Rattus norvegicus: one gene and its partner. The protein of the gene in region 1 interacts with the protein of each later gene in a pairwise test. Links are inferred from orthologs where the notes say so. Each region holds a gene or a part of one and is shown on either strand. Other genes may lie near its edges.

Evidence for each region.
Region 2: the proteins of Tmem239 (region 1) and Cxcl16 interact in a two-hybrid assay, tested with the Homo sapiens proteins (2 studies listed by BioGRID). The two-hybrid records come from large-scale screens. The link is inferred for Rattus norvegicus from reciprocal best matches to the Homo sapiens genes TMEM239 and CXCL16.

What each region holds. Positions count from the first base shown.
Region 1 is NC_086021.1:138,056,576-138,059,644, reverse strand, and holds Tmem239 (transmembrane protein 239), read right to left. Parts: upstream 1,769-3,069; 5' UTR 1,712-1,768; intron 1,631-1,711; exon of another isoform or gene 1,579-1,630; 5' UTR 1,565-1,578; coding exon 1,109-1,564; 3' UTR 555-1,108; downstream 1-554. Other genes in the region: uncharacterized protein C20orf141 homolog, read right to left, coding at 2,248-2,485, 2,569-2,726.
Region 2 is NC_086028.1:55,667,552-55,671,301, forward strand, and holds the start of Cxcl16 (C-X-C motif chemokine 16 precursor), read right to left. Parts: upstream 2,400-3,750; 5' UTR 2,114-2,399; coding exon 2,044-2,113; intron 1,862-2,043; coding exon 1,723-1,861; intron 1,512-1,722; coding exon 1,429-1,511; intron 1-1,428. Other genes in the region: Zmynd15 (zinc finger MYND domain-containing protein 15), read left to right, coding at 3,323-3,750. UniProt on the Homo sapiens protein: Acts as a scavenger receptor on macrophages, which specifically binds to OxLDL (oxidized low density lipoprotein), suggesting that it may be involved in pathophysiology such as atherogenesis. Induces a strong chemotactic response. Induces calcium mobilization.

The sequences.
Region 1 (3,069 bases):
TTCTGGAAATCCCTGAGCTATTATTTTCCCACTCACACAGCCTTACAACATTTCCTGGACCAGGCTCCGGTCTCAGGCATTGCACAACTCATCTAGTTCAGTATCTGCCTAGCGTGAGGCCACGTGGTACCTTTCACATTTCATCGCCCCGTTCATTCCATGTCAGTTCTGGGGCTGGGACTCCATACATGACAGATTTTCTGTGCAAGCCTAGAGAAACATACTCCATCTTTTAGCTTCTGAATCAAAAGGCCTTTTGAGCTTAACTGCTGTTTAGCCTTACAAAGTACTTTTCATAAAACCAGGCATGATGGCGCAAGTTTTAATCCCAGTACTCTGCACATAAATAGAGGCGACAGGATCAGAAATTCAAAGTCATTCCCAGCTAAAGAGTCCAAAGCCACCCTGGGCTTCATGAGACCCTGTTTCAAAACAACAGCAAAAGCAAAGTAGTTTGCAAACAGATACTGGCTTTCGATCGTAACGACATTATGAAAACATGGGGGCTCCCTTAACGCTGAGGTTCAAGAATAGTGAATTGGCCAAGATATGGAACTTTGCATTTTTGTAACAGACCTGGAGGCTCTTAAAAATATGAGTATGTAGGGTGGAGTGTTTGCTTATGCACAAAGCCTTGGGTCCAGTCTACACACACACTCTCCACCCTCCCTCAGTCTCCCCCATGATTGGCCTCTTTCCCGTTTCTGTGAGGTGAGGTCCCCAGCCTCTCTTTCTGTCAATAAAACCCATTCCAGAGTGTGTGCTCCTCCTGGAATTAGAGAGAGGACCCGGGACAAATCCAGACAAGCCCAGGGATATGTACATGGAAACTCTCAAGAAGCCTGGAGCTGGGAGGGCTGAGGTGGTGACAAAAGGGTTCTGCCAGGAAGATCAAGTGACATGGTGCTTTCCGTGGTTTGTCCTAGCAAGACCGTCCTGTTCCTGACACCAGTGTGGGTTTAAGGTAGATGCCCAGAATCCAGACCCCCACTTGTGTTTGTGACTGGGGGTCTGAGGTCTGTTGGAGTTTCCCTGCCCACCCTCCCCACAGGGCTCAGGCCCTAGGCCAGGGCTCAACAGACACAAGCAGTAAGATGGGGTTGCCCTTCTATTGGTCCAAGTCCTGAGCGTAGCCTGGGTGAGTCATGGAGGTGAGGAGGCCCACGAGGCTCAGCAGTGTGGAGAAGAGCAGCAGGAAGGAGGCAGCGAAGAGCAGAGCAGGCAGGGCACTGAGCACAAGCAGCAGGACAGCTGGCAGCAGGTGGCTCCACATGACAGCCACCACAGGCCACAGGGAGCTCAGCAGGTGGGAGCCAGTGGTGAAGAGTGCATGGCACAGCATCAGTGCCAGCAGCAGGTACAGTGTCCCCTCCAGACCCCATAGCATGCGCTGCAGTGGTTGCCTCCAGCCTGATGTATTCCACCACTGGGCCCAGCTCCGAGGTATGTGGCATACCCACCAGCGCACCCAGTCCTGACGGAGAACCCAGGCTGACCAGGGCGCTGCCCGCTGGGGCCCCTCGCCAGCCCCGATGATGTCCGTCTCCACTCGTGGCTGCTGCATCACGGCTGGTGCACCTGTGGATGGGGCCAGGCCAGCTGCAGGAGCAACCCTGGAGATGCCCAGGACCTTTGGATAGGAGGGCATGCAGGGGTCAGGAGGATACCAGCATGGGCAGGATTGGGCTTTGACCCGGGGGCTAGGACTCACCTTTGGGCAGAGCCACCTAAGTCATGGTGCTTCCTGTTGTGTGCAGGCTAACCTGGCAGCCAGGTCCCAGTCTCACCCTCGCTCACCCCACCATCCCCAGAGGGGTGCATTATGACCCGGGCTGGGGTGGGGCCCAGCCGAGAGAAGAGCTGCTGCAGTGTGAGACTCACTCACGTCTTTTACTCACGGCCCCTCCAGGCTGGCAGGAGAGCTCAGCAAGCCTCACAGATGCCATTCTCCTTGCTTGTAGGAAGCCTTCTCCACACCTGTCCCTCCTGGATGGCTGCCTCCAACTTCATGGCTGGCATTGGTTTCTGTAACCACCCTTTTCTCTGCCTTCTCTTAATGCCCTAAGCCTCAGACCCAGCTACCAAATGTTCATATTATGGAACTAGAAGGTTCAAGCTGAATATACTGGACTATTCTGTCCTTCCAACAGACAACCTTACCCTCACGTAGCTCAGGATGGAGGAGAAGAAATCAGAGAGCAGATTGGATGGTGTGTTTTTAGAAGGCATTCATCTTTTGGAGGCCCCTCAGGCCCACGGATGGATACAGAAAGCTAGGCCCAGCATGGCTAAGGGGATACCAGAGCCTCCCAAGAGCAGGCTGAGGCCCAGGAACAGCAGGAGCAGTGCATCCTGGAGTCTGAGCAGTCCCGAGACTCTCCCTGTTGGGGACAGGGGAGCTGCTTGCTGTCCTGGCCCTTCACCAGCCCCCTGGCTCTGACCTGTTGGGAGAAGTCTGTGCCGTGGCAGGTTGGGACCTGTGGATCTGTGGAGAGAGAAGATGGCAGCTCGAGGCAACTGCTCATTTGTCCCTGTGTTTGTGACACCTACCTGACAGGTGGCACTTACCCACGGAGCAGGTCAAAAACAAGGAAGCTGGACAGCAACAGGAGCAGCAGGGCTAGGCCAGCCGTTGAGAAGACTGTTCGAATCGTCACTCCTAGCGCCCCCAGCCCTAGGATACTGTCCAGGAGCTGGGCCTGGCTGAAGTCCCAGGGGACACACATGGCTCACTGACACTACTCAATCCCTCTCCAGTCTCCAGCCCCTCTGGAAGGAGGAAGTTGGCTGTAGAATAGTTCTGGGCATGAGTAAGCAGAGCCAGGTCCCAAAGGTTATTAGGGAGTCCTCGTGCTAGGAGATTGAGGATCAGTGAAGGGATACAACACTCCAGGGTGAGCTCAGTGAGTGAGGAACTAGCCTCTTTGGGGATCTCCCTCCCCCGACTCCCACCCAACATCCTCACCAACTCTCCTCACCTCCTCCTACTTGGGTTGACCATTCTAGATTTGAACACTCTGGGGCATTGTGACCTATTACCAGGCAGGGCCTTGAATTAAGGACAGGACA
Region 2 (3,750 bases), on another chromosome or scaffold:
GGTGTGCTGCCCTGCATGGGACCCTAGATGTCCTTTACCCCTCGTCTACAGCCTTCTGGGACTCTCTTCAGAGTAAAAGGCCTAGGGTATCTGAGAGGGTTGAAGAATACAATGTAGTCTCTGTAGCCTGAAAGGCAGTGGGGTACCTTTGATACCAGGTAAACTAATTGTTTGAGACAGGGTTTCTTTGTGTAGCCTGGCCATCCTAGAGCTAGCTCTGTAGACCAGGTTGGCCTCCAACTTACAGAGATTGCCTGTCTCTGCCTCGTGAGTGCACTTTTGGAGGCCTGCTGGGAACAGGACTTCTAAAAAAAAAAGCAAGTATGTCTGGAAGGCTGTGGTGCAAACAATGCTGGCTACAAGCGAGGTCTCTGGAACCAAAGAGAGCACACAGCTCTTCTTAAAATTGAAGGTGTTTATGCCTGAGATGAAACTGAGTTCTACTTAGGGAAGAGGTGGGTTTTGTTTGTTTGTTTGTTTTGTTTTTTTGTTTTTGTTTTTGTTTTTTTATAAAATAGAGTTCATTCAGGGCATGGGGGGAGTTAAGAGAGTCGTAGAGGCAGAGAGAGAGAGAGAGAGAGAGAGAGAGAGAGAGGTGGAGGTGTGTGTGTGGGGGAATAGAGGCCAGCCATGAGTATGTGGGGGGGGGGGTTAGAGAGAAAGAGAGCAAGAGAGAACAAGAGCGCAAGAGGTGTTCTTATGTGTTCAAAGCAAAAAAAAAAAAAAAAAAAAAATACAGTGACTCCTGGAGGAGTGATCTGGGGCAAACCAAACAAAACCAGAGTGGTCTGGGGAAAAGTAACTGGGACCCACAGAAACAGTGATGCGGTTTTTGTGCCAAATTCCAAAGCAACCTTCCTGCAAAGGCCATTGGACACAGAATCCGTGTGATCCTGTGTGATGCTGTACCCATCCAAGATTTAAACTAATGGAGATTAAATAAAGAAAATTAGATTTGTATGCTTGGGGGAAAAAAGTATTAGAAAGTGAAAATAGTACCTTCAGGTGATTTCAATTAGAACACAGCAGGTAAAGCCAAGCCTGTTGCAGAGTCCTGTAATCCCAGCTACTAGAGAGGTTGAAACAGGAGGAGACCATCCCGGTCAACTTAGTTAGACCCTGTCTAAAAATGTTTAAGAAGCAGAGAGATAGATCAGGGGCAGATTAGCTTGACCAATCTTAAGTACAGTTTATAACAGTGACTTCAAGAAAATATTAAGTAACAGCATATGTAGTAGGACAAATTGGCCAAAAGCAGGAAGATGACAGTAAATGATATTGGGAAAACACTGACTTAAGTGACAGTACTTCAGCGAAAGTTTTTAAAAGATTTTAAATAGGAAAAGTGCTGTGTGGCAGAGGCAAAGGGAATGGTAAGATGGCAGCCTGAACCCTGATGGCCCACTGGAGGACAGAAAAGGCTCTCACGTTTGTGCTCAAAGCAGTTCACTAGTTCACGGACCCACTGGTCTTGGCTTCCTCCACACACACTCTTGGACTGCAACTGGAACCTGCAAGAAAGTCAATCTAGTCTCTTGGCCACTCCTTCCTTTCCCTACCATTCCTCATTCCAAAGGTGTGAAGTCACAGGTGAGCCGCACTGTGGCTGGAAATCCCCAGAGAGACGAAGCTAGAAAGGAGCTAGGCTCCCCGACTTGGACCGGGTATTCAGATTGCTGGTTCTACAACTCTGCCCTCCCGGGGAAAGGAAAGAGACAGTACCTGATAAAGAATTGACAGCGATGGAACGTTTTCAGATATTTTCGCATATGATTCAAAGTAGCAGGCGGTATCTGGGTGCCAGAAGGAATTGTACGATCACAGTAGCAACTTCCAGCGACACTGCCCTGGTTGCCATCGCCTAAATGGAAAAGAAATCAGCCTCGGTTTTTCAGACTGAGGAATCTGCCCTTGTCTCAGACAAGACTTTCCCTAGTCACCGCTGCAGCCCTTGACGGTTCAGGGCTGAGTTCTTAATCCCTCGGACGTAGTGCACCTCCGCGGTTTCCATAGGGGGCTCCAGTCCCGCCCCCCCTGACTAACCTGGCAGAGTCAGCAGCGCAAAGAAGAAAAGGAAGAGTGTAAGGGCCAAGGGTCCAAAGCCCCGCCTCATCTCAGGCCGCTGCGGAGCTTGTTGAGGCCAGGTCACCTAGCCGACATCCAGCAGATTCTCTATTGCTTTCACTTCACCCTGGCTGATGCTTTGCGGAGGCGCTGATCTGTGCCAAGCTCAGGAAGGGAGGGGGCGCGAGGTGGTGGCGCCTTCTGTCCCCCGCGCGCTGTCCTGAACCGACCGTCTGGTCAGTACCGGGGAGCCCGCGCTGCGCCCAGCTCCCAGTCGGGGGACACACACATCCCTGCCCCGGAAGGCGGAGCTCCTTCCGACTCGAGACTCCTGGCCAGCAGTAGGGTCAGCCAAGACTATCGGACAAAACCGAAAGAAAACTTGGGCTAGAGCCAGAAGAATCCGAGTGAGCAAGCAGTGGTCCCGGAAGAATGACTCGGTTGGGTTCGGGGATTTCAGTCCTCTTGAGCGGTCATCTGTCTGTCTGCTGGTTTGTAAAGTGGTTTACCCTCTAGATCCTTCCTCTGGCTCCAAGATGCTTTCACTTCCCTGGACCGCTGAGTCTCAGTAGGATCCAGTCACATGGCCAAGGTGAAGCAGTCAAACAAATCCCCAGGACTGTGGGAGTGTCCACGCCCTGTCCACGCCCTGGCCAGGTACTGCCAGATGCCCTAAGCGCGCCACTGAAGTTATGAGCTGTGGGCACGGGCGGCCCTGACGTCACGACGGTCCTCCAGCACGAGGTATTTACCTTCGAAAAGTGGTGGCGGCTGTAGGTACCGGAGGAGAGGAGCGGCCAGAAAAGGGGTGGGTTTTAACTGGGGCTCACACCAAACCGATCCAGACCCAAGAGATGCCTCGTTACTTACTTTCACTTCTATTTCCCACAGACCAACAGACCCCCAAATTTACCTTTCTCAGCAAGCCTTTCTCTATAAGATTAGCCTTACCTCATGTCTTCCCTTAATTCAAATCGCATTTTAGGATTTGAGTCATTGAGTTTTGTGCCCCAGGTACAATTTCATCCCTGAGTACTCCCCTTTAACCCTAAATATCCACTTTCCCATCTAGCCTCCCTCCATTCCCGTCCCTGCAAATCCTAGTCTCAGCTCCTAATATTCCTATGTAGATCTTACCTCAAGCCCACACCGTTCTCCCTTTTGTGACCCAGCCCAAACCCACCACTACCCTGATCCTCATGGTTATCATATATCCCTTTCTGCTCAGTCTGGGTCCAGGCCCTGTGTATCTAAAGACATGGAGTTTGTGTCTGGATACCGAGATGAGTTCCTCGATTTTGCTGCTCTTCTCTTTGGCTGGTTCCGCAAGTTTGTGGCAGAGAGGGGGACCATGGGAACAAGCCTTGAGGGCCGATGGCGTCAACTGGAGTCTCAGATAAGGAGGCTGCCTCAGGACCCTGCCCTTTGGGTGCTCCACGTTTTACCAAACCGCAGTGTGGGCATCAGCCTGGGGCAAGGTGCAGAGCCAGGTCCTGGGCCAGGCCTAGGGGCTTCCCGGCTCCTGGGAGACGAACCTCCACTTCACCTGAGAGACCTGAGTCCTTATGTCAGTTTTGTCAGCCTAGAGGATGGAGAGGAAGGGGAGGAGGAGGAGGAGGAGGAAGAAGAGGAGCATGGAGAGGAGAGACCAGGCACAGAGAAGGTGGAACTGCAGGAGGGTGGGGA